Pelodiscus sinensis: one gene and its partner. The protein of the gene in region 1 purifies or fractionates together with the protein of each later gene. This does not show direct contact. Links are inferred from orthologs where the notes say so. Each region holds a gene or a part of one and is shown on either strand. Other genes may lie near its edges.

Region 1 (7,926 bases):
GGGCGGGGGAGTGCACGAAGTCTTCTCCCACTGCCAGGGGCATTGGTGCCTAGGGATAATCTCTGGGGGCGGAGGGGGGGGGGAAGCAAAGACTTCACCTGCTCCCCTGCCCTCAGACCAATCTGTGGGTAGGAAAGCGGGGAAGTATCGTGGCCCTGCTGTCACAATGATTTGTGACACCGCCCCTTCCAGTTGAGGCCCTGCTCCTTCCGGTGCAGCCAGGGGCCCCTTCAAAAATTTCTGAAATGGCCCCCAGTAAAAAATTATTGCCCACCCCTGGTTTAGCTCAACTTGCTTTTAAATATCTTCAGTGATGGCAATTCCACAACCTCCCTATGCATTTATCCCAGTTTTAATCACGCTGACTGTTAGGAAGTTTTTCATGTGTTGATGAGCCAGCATGGCTCCCTCTGTCCCACCAAGCAGCCGGGAACCTCCTTCAATTCCCCTCTCCCTCCCCAACATATGCCCCCCCCATACCTCTCAATTCCCTGCCATGACTTCTGCACCCTCCACTTCCCACCCTAAGCCCCTCCTCTGACCCAACCCTGACTCCTACAACCCCCAATTTCAAGCCCTGAGCCCCTTCATACCTCCAGTCCTGACTCCTACAACCTCCCCATCCCACTACTCCAGCCCCCTTCCCTGAACCCCTACTTAATGACCCTACTTAAAATCATGAGTGGTGTGGAGAGGGCCGATAAAGAAAAGTTATTTATTGGTTCCCTAAATAGAAGAACTAGAGGACACTAAATGAAATTAATGGGTAGCAGGTTTAAAACTAATAAAAGAAAGTTCTTCTTCACGCAGCCTGTAGTCAACCTGTGGAACTCCTTGCCAGAGGAGGCTGTGAAGGCTAGGACTATAATAGAGTTTAAAGAGAAGGTAGATAATTTCATGGAGGTTAGGTCCATAAAAGGCTATTAGCCAGGGGATAAAATGGTGTCCTTGGCCTCTGTTTGTCAGAGGCTGGAGAGGGATGGCAGGAGACAAATTGCTTGATCATTGTCTTCAGTCCACCCTCTTTAGGGCACCTGGTGCTGGCCACTGTCGGCAGACAGGATACTGGGCTAGATGGACCTTTGGTCTGACCCAGTACGGCCATTCTTATGTTATGACCCAAGTAACACTGGGTAAATGTGCTAGCAAATAATAAGACAATACATTCATTCCCTCCCTCCCCCCTATATATATTACATATAGTAGAGATTTGTGTGTCTTGTTCTGTGAGTCCATTTGTTTAAGAACTCCTCCTAAACATTAACAGCTAAGACCACCAAATTTGGTATGCAGCTTTTTTCTCTTATCCTAACTTAAAGCAAATTCATGGTTTGGTTGTGCAAGAGAACAGGATGTGCCTGGAATTTGACTGTTTTCCATTATATAGAAAAGGAGGGGGCTGTTCAGAGAGACACAATACTGCAGAATGAGCACTGGGGGCAGTGAGCACAGGGAACAGCTATACTGCAGAGTGACCACTTGGGGAAGCCGCACCAGGAAGGAGGTTGCCAGCTGGAGACAGGGCTTGCCTTCTTGCTGGACAATGAAGGTGGCACCTCTTCCCCACTGCTCCCCCCAGCCCCCAACACTACACCGGGGAGAGGGAGAAGCTCTGCTGGTCCCACTATCATAACTCTCCCCCCCACAAGCGCCACCAGGGATGCGCAGCACATCCTTCCCCCCCCCCGCTCTCCCCTCCCCCACACGGGCCACAGCCAAACCCCTCCCCCATTCCCCAGTACTGCATGGCTGCCCTACATGGTCACGCCCAGCCAGCCCGCACAGCCCCTCCTCCCCAACCTTGGACTGGGGAACACCACAGGAGCTGGACTGCACAGCCCCCTTCCCATTCCCGGGCCCAGAGTGCGCTGGCAAGGGGCCTCTGTGGTGCCTCACCCTCTCCAACCCCAGGCTGGACACAAATTCCTAAATAACTTATTTGTTTTACAGTAGAGTATGTACACAGCAGTGATAACCAGTTTGATCTCATTAACTTTGTTATTTTTTGGCTTGAATTATGAACTCTGAATATTTTGTGTGTTTTAGAAAGTAAGGGGGGGCATGCACCTGGTTGAGCCCTATTTCTGATCATACATATTTTCTACAATATAAATAAAATTGCACTCACGAATTAAGATTATAAAATTAAAGTGATAGATAACTAGTGGTATAAATCAAAATTAATACACTGCATTAATCTGAAATAGTAAACAATGAATTTATGCTCTAGTTTTAGTGTTCAAATTACCACAAAATGGATTATGAAATATCTAATAAAAATTAAATGACACTATAATTTTTTAAAAGATGTCATGTAATTAACCCCCCAGTCAGCATAACATAATATCCACCCTTCCAAAATTAAAGACAAAGAAAACCCACAATTTTAAACAAGTAAATTATCTACTGTTGCTAAAACTATCTAATTTAGATCTGGAATACTGGGAAGAAAAGCTTACAAAAAACACAGAAATTAAGTTAACAACACTTGTCTAAGAAAAAGGAAGCTCACATATGAAACTCTGTTACCAGACACCAAGTCCCTGTGAAAGAGTATCAAATTTCCACCTGCATGTTGCAATAGCTCTTGCTTTAAAGCTACATTTACTGTTACACTATAAAAAGGCTGATAGAATTTACAGTAGTTTTGTCTATTTACTACATAAAATCTTTTAATTACCATAAAAACTGAATATTAAATATCTACAGTACACTTACTTGATCTGTCCCATAGGGCAGCAAGTTCAGAGAAATGATGGCTCTCATTTTCCAGAGCCACTTTCTGTTCTTGTAAACTACCCTTAGAGTGCCTATGAAAAAGTCGGTTAGCAAACCCTTCAAGTCTCTGCAAAGCAGTGGATGTCCCTGTGCACTGGTTACAAGATAGTTCCCGCTGCGCTGCCATCTATATTCATTGATAATTTACTTTAAAAAACATTAGACAATCTATAAAGGAGCTCAAACAACTTAAACAGAAGCTAGGAACTTATGCATGTGTCAAACTTCCTGAATGCAGTGTTTCTAACCACTACTGCTGTTCTGCTTCCTGTTAATACAAAACAGCACGTTATGGTGCTTTTCTTAGCAAAACTCTGTTGTATCTGCTAAAGGTGGCGGTTAAAAGAGCTGTAATAGTTGTCTTAAACTCTGAGTTTAACAACTTTTTTCATATAAAAAAACACATGACAATGAAAATACACAACTGCATGTGATATAAAGTGAAGGAAAAAATCAGAATACAGATAAAATTTAAAAATAGCTCCCATAAACATCCATCAACTAAAAAGTATCCCTACATTTTTTTTACAACAGTACAATTTTCTAAGCAAGAAGGTTAACTTGTTAAAACAAATGATGTTTTATGGTAAATAAAAATTAACAAAGTTACCACTTTTGTCCTTTTACATTTAGAAAGCCATAATGGAGTAAGCTAAAGAATAGTTCTTGTGTAACAAGAAGCCAGATTCTGCCAACCTTACTCATGCTGAGTTTTAGCTTCCTCCAAATGTCTATCAACAAGTCAGTGGGGCCACTTACTGAGTAAGGTAACATCCAGTCCTTAATAAAGAAATATATCCATTTTCCAACCATCCCAGAAGAAAAACAGAAGGCAATGGAGAAGATGTAATTAGCTTGCAATTGTATACATTTAATATATCTGGGAATATCTAGCAGTAAGTTGTACAGTGATCATCATAGTTCTCCTCTTAATCATTTCCACCTATTTAGGAGGCCTGCTATTAGGGACACAAAATCCCATTTAAAATGTTAACCAGTTAAACGATGTTTAACCACTTCAGAAGAGTAGCTGAGTTAGTCTGTAACTGGAAAAACTTAAAAGACAATGAATAGTATAGCAGCACCTTAAAAACTAACAAAACATGTAGATGATATCATGAACTTTCAAGGGTACAACCCACTTCTTCAGATGAATGGAGTTTAAGGTCCAGTTCCAAGATAAACAGGAGACTGGGGGCAAGGAGAAGGAGGGGAAAAGGAGGGAAAAAGTCAATAAAAGTATCCATGTTACAAGAAGCTGAGAAAAACAATTTGCACCTGCTCTAAGTACCCGTTTGTTTTTTTAAGTCATTAGGATGTGGAAGGTAGTGTGCTAGGCAGGTAATGTCTTTATTCATACCTTTGTGATGGGTCCCAAACCTGTAAATCAGGGCAACTCAATACAGCCAGGTCCCTGCAGGGGGCGCCTGGTCCCTGCAGCATGGCAGGCCTGGTGCAGCCCAGTGGGGGCTGCTCCAGTTGGGCTCAGCAGGACCTATTACACTGTTTCCTGGGTGTGCTCCATCCTGGCCAGCCCTGGGGCTCCACAGCATGAGTCTGCTCTGACCTTGATGGGCTGGAATGCCCCCCAGGAGGCTGGCCGGGTGTGAAGCTGCCCAATTAACCAGTTACCTGTTTACATCCTTAGGTGCTATCAATCCTCTATCTCTGCACCTGATCCCTATCAACCTGTTGCTGGGACTTCACCCATCTCCCCACCATGAGAATTAAGGGAGATGGAAAAGGAACACGGTGCGGGGGAATTCATTCTCCGCTGTACCCGTCCATAACACATACTTGCACTGGACATCTGCCACATTTGTTAATTATTACGTTGCAATATTTTGACCCAAATTAGCCTAGGCTACCAGGCCCTGACCTGCTGTGGGTAAAGTAAAACACAAAAGAACAATCCATTTTGGCCAATTGGGCACTGAGAGAAAAATCCCTTCCCAGCCCTTAAGAAAAAGGTTACTCATAGCAGATTAGGAAAAAATCCATTTGTGGGAGGGCACGGGCAACTAAGATCTAATGCAGTGAGAGAAGACTTCTCCAGAACTTCCCAGGGTATAAATACTTCCTCCTCCCACCTGATTACACCCTCTCACTTGTGGTGAAACCACCTTCTGTTCTTCTATGCTTTGTCAAGGTCAACTTTTTCCCTCTCTACCACCAATTGTACATGGGAGAGGGGCACTGCATTGTATATTGGCCAAATACATAAGGGTATGTCTACACTACCCCGCTAGTTCGAACTAGCGGGGGTAATGTAGTCATCCGCACTTGCAAATGAAGCCCGGGATTTGAATGTCCCGGGCTTCATTTGCATGAAGCCGGCCGGCGCCATTTTTAAATGCCGGCTAGTTCGGACCCCGTGCCGCGCGGCTACACGCGGCACAGACTAGCTAGTTCGGATTAGGCTTCCTAATCCAAACTAGCTGTACACCTCGTTCCACGAGGCATACAGCTAGTTCGGATTAGAAGCCTAATCCGAACTAGCTAGTCCGTGCCACGTGTAGCCGCGCGGCACGGGGTCCGAACTAGCCGGCATTTAAAAATGGCGCCGGCCGGCTTCATGCAAATGAAGCCCGGGAAATTCAAATCCCGGGCTTCATTTGCAAGTGCGGATGACTACATTACCCCCGCTAGTTCGAACTAGCGGGGTAGTGTAGACATACCCTAATATATATACACACACAACAAAGGATAAATAGACAAGTCAGATATCAGAAATGGCAATACACGCAAACCCGCAGGAGAACATTTTAATCTACCTGGACACTCATTAATGGATTTAAAATATTCTACAAAGAAATTTCAAAAACCAACACCACAGAGAGAGTGCAGAACTGGCCTTCATATGCAAGTTTGACGCTGTTTCTCATGGCTTGAACAAAGACATTAACTGGATGGGCCATTATAAAATCTGCTTTCCTAACATTCAACACTCAAGTGACATAAAAAGTTAAGTATGGGAGAAGGATGTTAAATTGCAGTTATCTGGCTAATCATGTAGTTGATAAAATTTGTATCAACTATAAGATTAGTCGATAAGGGGCACTCTGTAGAGCCATAGCAAGGGTAGCTCCTGGAGCTGGGACTGACCAGCCCTAGCCACCACAAACTGAGTCTGCTCCAGCCACTGTAAACAGGGGTTGCTTGGCAGCAGCAGCCCCTGTCTGCGGGCAGGCCCCAGTTCCCCAATGAGACCCCTGCGAACAGGGGCTTCTGCCAGAGTAGCCTCCCCTATCCTCACCCTGCTACCTCTGATAGGGACAACGGAGGAAGGGGGTAGGTGGCACCCCAGAGACTAGTCAAGTAGTAAACTACTCACTAGCATCCCTAGTATGGGACACTTCCAGTCCACTCAATTAGCCTCTTTAGCACCAGCACTACAACTGATAGGTCCTTTCCCCTCACCCTTCTTTTTCTGTCAAACTGTGAGGGTCCCCTTTTCTCTCCACTCTGCTCTGCTCATCTGAGCAAGTGGGTTTTGCAAACAAAACCTCGTGTCTGTCTCTCTCTCTTGCAAAAATTTTCCTGTGGGACAATAGTGACATCATCACATCACTCTGCATTGTCCCCCACCCCCAGCCTTGGCAGTCTCTGAAGGGGAAGAGATGGCCATGGCTCAGAGTTCTGCCCTGGCCTCTCCTTGGGGACCCCCTGGGCTCCTTGCTGGCCTCCTGGTTCCCCTGCAGGTGGGTTAGGGAGAAGCGGCAGCTCCAGCTCCCCCCTTTGCCTCTCGCTTCTGAGCTCTGGCTTCCGTGGCCCAGCACCTCCTACCCCAACTCCCAGGGAACTTCTGCTGCCTGCCTCAGGATGTGTGCTTGGGCTACCGCCTGCCTGGCGCTCCAGACTCCACTGGCTTCCTGTGGGGGGTCAAAGGGGAGAGAAAGCCCCACAACTCTGTGCTGGATCTGGCTTGCGGGGAAGCATGCGCACTGCTGCTTCCCTTTCCCCTCCCCGGCTGGTGCACCTATGAACTTGTTGGAGGCTTTTCCCGCTACTCAGACAGCTGCAGGTAAAGCCTCTGGTGCCTGGAAGCAGCATGCCACATGAAAACAAGTAAGAGCCCCTGCAGCCTTGGCCCTGTCTCCCCAGTGCCTCACACGTTCCCTCCCCTGCCAAGCCTCACACTCCCTGCCTGCTCCTGCCTCCTATCCCCAGCCGTCACCCTGCCCCCAACCTACTCCTGCCCCCTCTGCCAAGCCAGACTCCCTGCCCAATTGGGGCCTAACCCCCTTCTGGCCACCGCATCCTGTCCCTGGCCCCAATACTGGGGTAGGGCCTGCGGTCCAGCCACCATCTGGCTGCAGGAAGGGTTGGTGGTAGTCCCCCTCCTGCTGAGGCATGGGCAGGAGAGGAGGCCACGATGTGGCTGCAACAGAGTGAGGTTGGCAAGTATAATAAGCAGGCAGTACAGCCCCCTAGTGATACTATATATATATATATATATATATATATATATATATATATATATATATATATATATATAATGTTAGTCTCTAAGCTGCTACAGGACCACTCGTTTTTTTACTGATACAGTAACTCCTCGCTTAACATGTGCCCGCTTAACACGTTTTCGTGATAGCATGATTTTTTTTGGGAACATTTTTCAAACAACATGACCCGTCCCCGCAATAACATGATTTTCCCTAGGGCCAGCCGGTGGCCGGCAGCTGAGAAAGGCTTTCTCTGCAAAGCGGCACAGGTTCTTCACTCGCTGTGCTGTTCCCCACCGACCCGTTCTGGCCGGATGCTTTGTTCCCTCTCCTCTGCCCCCCCCCGCTTGCAGCGGGCAGCTGAATTTCCCCAGCTGGCTGGTCACTGGCAGCTGTGCAGGGCTTACCCTGCCTCCAGAGGTTCTCTGCGCCATTCCTCGGTGACCTCCTCTGGCTGGATGCCTCGCTCCCTCTCCTCCGCCCTCCGCTTGAGGCTGGGTTTCCCAGGGCTTCGTCTGCCTCCTTACAAAGCGGCGGAGATTTGCCGCTTGCCATGCAGTTCCCCGGTGACCCCCTCTGGCCAGATGCAAGGCATCAGTCTGGCCCTTTCCCCTCCCTATCTCCACCAGCCAGGGTCCCTTCTTCCTCCCTCATCTCCGCCAGCCCTGTACTTTATCTCCCTCCCCACCCCTCACCATGCAGG
Region 2 (7,202 bases), on another chromosome or scaffold:
CTGGAGGGCCCCATTATGCTAGGTGCTGTACAAACAGAAGAGATAGGCTAGACTACACTAGCAATTCCACAACTAATACTTACGTCAACCCTCACTTTCGGTTTTAAATTGTTGCAACACAGCTCCCAACGAACCTGAAATCACATCAACCACAGACTGTCAGTCTGCCCAACAGCGTATTTCTGAGAGCCAACAGCTAGTATTTCCCCAACAAAACATCGAGAGCTAAGACTTCAGTGGAGTTAAGACAGTTAGATAGTGGCTAACACACACAGATATTGAAAAATTACAGATTCACTTTCTATTACAGAAATAGATCTACACACTGGTAGGAAACTCTGAATCAGCATATACAACAACTGACACCAACTGATTCTCATCTACCTACCCATTAATTTTACAGCTGAGCGGCTAATGTAATTTAGACCAGTCTTCCAGCTGCCTTTTAACGAGTTGTAAGAGCTCTGCAATGGTTTAAAAGAGTCTTCACTTAATTTGCTCACCTATGGATCAGTTCAAGCAGACAAGAGGGTAAATCCTGACTGTGGAATCCAATGGGAATTTTATCACCAACTTCAACGGGGTCAGGATTTCATTGCTGGTTTCTTTTTGGCCTTAATCGGTTTAAAGAACGTTGGGCTTTGAGGGGTTTTTATTGAGGGAGGGACTTTCCGTGGAAAGCAACTCTGCCTGCTCTGGGCTACTGCATGTCTCAAACACTGCAACTCTTAGGAGGGAAGACTGGCTTCTTTTTCTCCAAGGGGCAAGTCCAAAAGCCGCGGTTCAAGAGCCATCAAAGCCACGCTGAACAAGACCTGACTGAGATTGCACACTGATTAGCTCGTCTCATGTAAGCGCCATCAAGCCAGACAGCGTGGGTTAGTTTGCCATGTCACATCGGCAACAGCAGCAGGTACATGCCTGCCCCGTCACTCACTTTCACTAAATAAGGCTGCACCCAGAGGCCCAGAAGCACTTCTTTTCTAGTTGAAACAAGTACAGGGAGGTGATCTGAGCTCAAAGGAGCATGAGCCAAGTGTACAGACTTGGCAGCACGAAGATGGGTGAAGTTCCCATTTCACCCACCAGCTCCGGAGCAGAAAGCGGTGACCTATGCTAGTTGTTAGAACAAGAAGCAAACTCCCCAGCCCTCCTCGAGCTAGGCCTGATGTGGTGCTCAGGTTGCTTCCTGCAGCACACTACCTGTTCAGTCTGGGTATACATGACCTTTAAAAGAATAAATCCATAGGAGTGTGAGTGACCTTGAGAAAAAGCAGCTCAGGTCATTTCTCTGCAAATGCCAACAGGACAGAAAGCATCTTGACACCTTCTAACTGCCAGAGATAAAGGACAGCTCATCTCATACTCTTTTCAAGTGGCACAGCCAGCCCTGTTGCAGGTTTGCAATCCCACTAATAGGTGCCTCCGTATCAAGGGTCAGGGAGTCACTACACACACAACCTTGTGACTGTTCAAAGCTGACACCACCATCACCCTCTTAGGGTAAAGAAAAGACTCTTAATAATACACCCTTGGCACAACAATGCCAGACTTGCTGCCTAAGCGGGACACATACTGTGCCATTAACTCACAGCACCAGTATACTGTGCACGCTATCCCATTCACAGTAGCAAAGCCACTACCTGCTACAGATAGTTAGGAAAGGGGATACAAATGGGGCAAAAGAACCATTCAATGGCCTCTCAATGACCTCCCAAGGTTCCTTCCAGTCCTGTAATTCCATGACAAGCACCACGCTGGCCATACTGGGCTGATCGCACCTCTGCCAAGAAGCGAGTGGGGAAAAAGTTCCCCAAACCAACAAGGGACACATGAGCAACAAGCCAGTGCCTGGAGCTCCAGGGGGCTGCACTCCTAGGAGTGGGGAGGTACACAGCAGAATCAGACAGGGAGAGGGGAGTTAAGAAAGGGCAGCTGGATAGGAGCCAGCCCCAGGGCAGAAGGGAAGGGAAAGTCTGACAGCACATGAGGCAGCAAAGACAAAGGGGCTATCTTGTCGCACCACCCAGGGCAGCAGGGAAAAGGTGACTCCAGGCAGGGGTGGGCAGTCTGTTTGGCAGCACACGTGGCTGGGGTGACCCCGGCGAGCAAGGGGGGGGGCGCGGGGGTGACATCACGTGGGCAGTCAAGCAGCACACGGGGCAGGGGTGACCCCAGGCGGGTAAGGGGGAGGGCTGGGGTGACACCACGTGGGCAGTCTGGCAGCCCAGGGGGCAGGGGTGACCCCGGGCGGGCAAGGGGGGGCTGGCAGTCTGGCAGCCCAGGGGGCAGGGGTGACCCCGGGCGGGCAAGGGGGGGGCTGGCAGTCTGGCAGCCCAGGGGGCAGGGGTGACCCCGGGCGGGCAAGGGGGGGGCTGGCAGTCTGGCAGCACAGGGGGCAGGGATGACCCCGGGCGGGCGAGGGGGGGCTGGCAGTCTGGCAGCCCAGGGGGCAGGGGTGACCCCGGGCGGGCGAGGGGGGGCTGGCAGTCTGGCAGCCCAGGGGGCAGGGGTGACCCCGGGCGGGCGAGGGGGGGCTGGCAGTCTGGCAGCACAGGGGGCAGGGGTGACCCCGGGCGGGCGAGGGGGGGCTGGCAGTCTGGCAGCCCAGGGGGCAGGGGTGACCCCGGGCGGGCGAGGGGGGGCTGGCAGTCTGGCAGCACAGGGGGCAGGGGTGACCCCGGGCGGGCGGGGGTAGCAGCCGGGCAGCACACGGCGCAGGGGGGAGGGGGCTGCCCCTCGAGAGCTGACAGCTGCCCTACCACGCTGGCGCCTGCTCCCCGGCGCTCAGCCCACACAAGGCGGCGGCTCCACGCCCGGCTGCCGCCCCCCCGGGGAACGCGGCCCGGCCCCGGTACTCACGATCCGTCCGGTGCTCGCCGCCCCCGGTGCAGAGCCCTCGTGCGCGCCGTGCCCTGCCCCCACCCCGGCCGCTCCCCGCCAGCCGCGCTGCCCCCACGTGCTGCCCGACCGGGCCCGTCCGAACACTGAGACATTCAACCGCTACACTAAGGCCCGCACGCCCCGCCCCCCGGCGCGAGGCAGCCACATCTCGCGAGACCTGCCGGCGAGTGCCATTCAGCCGGCCCCGACTTACTTGGCGGCGGTGGGGGAGGGGGAGCGGGAAGCAGCTGCGCATGCGCCTGTGGGACACGCCTTTCCCCCAAGGGTACAGCACAGGGGAGAGCACGTGGAGTCTGTGCTCCTGCACCCGGCCCCCACCCTCTGCCCCTCCTCACCTTCCGCCCCGCCCCCACCCCTGACCTGCCCCTCTGAACCCCCCATCCCTTGCCCCGATCTCCCACCAATGTGCCCTCTGAGTTGTTTCCAATCCATGCGTGGAATAAATTTTGTTCTGTGCACCAGGGCACGCGTGGATGTGCACTACAAGTAGTAACAACATGCTGCTGGCTGCGGGTCGTTGTGGGTGCTCTGCTCACCAGCTGGGTGGCACCCGCTTCACTTTTCACTTGTGTGTGGCCCCCGACTGATTTTTCTGTGGGTCAGCCCCCGCCCCCTCGACCCAAAAAAGATTCCCCACCCCTGGTGCATATGATAGAAACCAAGCTGAAGAGGGGGGTGCCAGTTGCATCGTGAGTTCTGAAATTTATGCCCCACTCTGGCACCAGATCTTGGCAATATACACCTCCCTTCTTCTCCCCCCATCACTCACCCAGACCCCTGGGCTGAGCTCCTGAGCCTCTCAAGTACTATGTGCCCTGGGGAGACCCGTGACCATCCCACAGCTGGTGCTGCCAGGGCAGACCAGGGCTATGTTCTATTTTGAGTGCAGTAGCTGGAGGACAGCAGCAGTCCGTCTCCTTGAGCTGGGAATTAGCCCCAGCCGGATGGCTGGGTGGACACTCTAAGTGTTCCCTCTCATTTTTCACACCCACATGAGGAATGAATTTTGTTATGTGCACCAATATGGTGTGACACATCGTCTCCATATTGGTGCACTTAAAAATATTCCTGTGGCGGGGGGGGGGGGGGGGGGGCATTTAATAGGCATTCAGCATGTTGGTTGAGGGGAATGTGATGGCTCTGGCCGGGGTGGTGGGGGGGGGAGGGTTATGGATTCAAGGTGGAGCCAGGGACGAAGGGCTGGGGCAGAGGACTGGAGTGCAGGGGGGAGGGTTCTGGCTCAGGGTGCAGGCTGAGTGGTGCTAGGGAGAAGAGGTTTGGGGTGCAGGCTGCCCTGAGGCTACAGTGGGGAGTAAAGACACACACACTCTCTAACTCTCCTTGTAGCAGGACTGGGGCTGACGGGGAGGAGGGGACCCCTCCCCTGGCTACAACAGGTTTGGGCTGGGTCATGGTCAGGGTGCCTGTCCCCTGGCTACAGTAGGGGTGGAGTCGGTGGAGGGGCACCTGTTGCCCTACACACACACCTGCCATGGCAGGGCTGGGGAAGGGGTATAGCAGCAGGTCCGAGGCGAATGTCCGTGTGTCATTTAATAGGCAGCTGCACAGCTTAGAACAGGGGGCTCGGACTCACGGCCCAGGGGCCCGAGCAGTACCACGGCCTGGCCCTCACACGGCTGCTGGCACGTGAGTCCCTGCAGCCCTGAGGAGAATGTCCAAGCCTTTCCCTCAAGTCCAGTCTCTGCTTCACCCCCCACGAGGCCTCTTCCCACCCTTGCTCCTTCTCCCCCAACCTCCTCCCCTAAGGAACGGGGCCTCGGGGATCACAGGAGGCCTGGCGTGGGGTAGCAGCAGGGATTGGGCCCCCCGCACTCACCATGGCAACAGGAGCTGCGGGGAAGTGGAGCGACGCAGCAGCCTCGGCTCTGCTCCGCTGCCATCCCCCAGGCCAGCGGCGGCAGGAAGCAGAGCGCCTCACCCGAGAATGGGGAACCATCCCATTCATAGGTTGGGGTGGCCACGGCCGGGCTCCCCAAAGTGACCATGCCCAACCATCCTATGGATGGTTCTGCACACACCTCCCCCGGGACACAGGGATGTGGGGCAGAGCTCGTGACTGGAACCTGCTCTTGCCCTACTGGGGGTGGTGCTGGGAGTCCCTGGTGGGATGTTAAAATCACTTGGGGGCAGCAAGTGGGGTTGGGGGACACACCGGGGGGGGGGGAGAGGGGAGTGCCTGGGCTGGCAGGCAGGGCTAGGAGATGTGTGTGTGGGGGTGAACACGAGGAGACACTCCCCCCCACTCAGAGCCCTGTCAGAGAAGTGCACACTAGGAGAATTTGAGGCCTGGCACTGGCCCTAAGGTAAATTGAGATTGAGACCCCTGACTTGGAGGGAACTTGGACGCTAGTGTGCGCTCTGAGGCTACGTCTACACTACGAGTTTTCTTGGCAAAAAATATGCTATCAGTATACCTCCTTTTGGGGGGCATAAGGATCTTGTGGGGGTTTTGCACAAAAAATGTCCACACTGCTTGTTTTTGTGCAAAAACCTCAGCGCAAAAACGGATTGGCAGAAAATATGCAAATGAGATAATGACTCATGCAAATGAGTCCCTCATTAGCATATTTTTTGCCAAGAAAACTCATCGTGTAGACGTAGCCTTTCACTGCACAGTTGGCGAGGTTATTACAATAATCCACTTTGCCCTAGTGCACATGACACCCTGACTAGCAGGAATATTCAGAGGGTATCAAAATAAAGGAGCTCCCATCCTTTCCCCCCCCACCCATCTCCAGTTTGGAAAGAACACTTCACTTCATGTCCTCTTCTGGGCTGGTGGATTCGCTGATTCAGTCTCCTTTAACAACTGGACATATGCTCCTCTGTTTAAATCTTTCTGTCCGAGGTACCTCACAGTGTCCGGGCATCCTCCTCAAAGCCTCCTTCTTCAGTCATCACTGGTATCTGAGTCACTTCCTTGGAAGAGCTAAAAATGGCTCACTGTCTCCTTGTGTTTCCCTTCATGTTAATTAATTTGTTTATCTGTGTTCAAATACTCGGTGCTACACAGGCGGCACAGTTCAATCACCTAAAGAAATCAAACCGTTAAATGTGCCGTTCAAACAAGCAGCCAGTGACAACTCAACGCCATTATGGAATCTTAGACGATTAGGGTTGGAAGAGACCTCAGGAGACCTTAGTCCAACCAAGGCCGTTCCTACCACTATGCAAAATATGCACCAAATTGCACCAAATTTCATGGTGCCCTAGGCAGGTATGGGCTCCAGCAGCCAGGGCCCCCACCATAGGCTGTGCCCAGTAGGGCCATCTCTATAAGGAGTGTGGAGCCTGGGACACCCCCCGACCTCACTTCACCTCATTCCAGCTCCAACCACACTCTACCCCTTCCCTAAGTGCCCCCTGCTCTGCCCCAACCTGCCTCTTCCCACCGCTGCTGCATCTCCTCCCACCCCTTCACCCAAATAACGAGGCTGGGGCTGGGTTGCTCCACTCTGTTGCTGCAGGTGAGTGCTGCCTGGAACAGGTATGACTCTTGCTGCCAACCTGCCTTGCTCCTGCCCCCACAGCTCTGGGTCTACTTCCCACAGCTCCTGGCCCTGCATTGCTCCTCAGGGACGGTGGCTGCATAGGGCATCAGAGCTAGGGCCAACTCCCTGCTTAACCAATCCCAACTAAATCACCCCAGACAGGACTTTGTCAAGCCTTAAAAACCTCTAGGGATGGAGATTCCACCACCTCTCTAGGTAACCCATCCCAGTGCTTCCCCACCCTCCTAGGGAAATAGTTTTTCCCAATATCCAACCTAGACCTCCCTCACTGTAACTTGAGACCATTGCTCAAGTTCTGTCATCTATCACCATTGAGAGCAACCTGGCTCCATCCTCTTTGGAACCTCCTGGACAGGTAGTGGAAGGCTGGTACCAAATCCTCCCTTTACACTTACTTTCTGCAGACTAAGTACACATTTTTCAATAAGCATTGTAAAAGTGAAACTAAGAGACACATTAGCAAGCAACTACAGCCACTGAACATGGCAGGCTATGGCTGAATCAGTATGGGGATGGAAAACTTAAAGGAGAATCCATCTTTAGCAAAGTTATTGCTTGCCAGTTTGGTAGGCCCTCTGTTTTAATGGGAAATTTTATACATTTCCTTTTTTGACCCATTGGATTGTGTTACATTGCACTGTTAACCAGTTGCCCATTTCACCATAGAGAAGGTTACCTTTGAATAGTAAGTAAGCGGCGGTTGTAAAATACTTTCAGTAGGAGAAATATGTATCAATTATTACAATAAGCCAGTTTAGCACTGTA

The links.
Region 2: the proteins of PRKACB (region 1) and AKAP1 purify together in Homo sapiens (affinity purification with mass spectrometry; 4 studies listed by BioGRID and IntAct, counting the BioPlex papers as one, with this or other methods). This does not show direct contact. The link is inferred for Pelodiscus sinensis from reciprocal best matches to the Homo sapiens genes PRKACB and AKAP1.

The regions. Positions count from the first base shown.
Region 1 is NC_134719.1:29,277,933-29,285,858, reverse strand, and holds the start of PRKACB (cAMP-dependent protein kinase catalytic subunit beta), read right to left. Parts: upstream 3,002-7,926; 5' UTR 2,906-3,001; coding exon 2,719-2,905; intron 1-2,718. UniProt on the Homo sapiens protein: Mediates cAMP-dependent signaling triggered by receptor binding to GPCRs.
Region 2 is NC_134731.1:10,350,031-10,357,232, forward strand, and holds the start of AKAP1 (A-kinase anchor protein 1, mitochondrial), read right to left. Parts: upstream 3,021-7,202; 5' UTR 2,863-3,020; intron 1-2,862.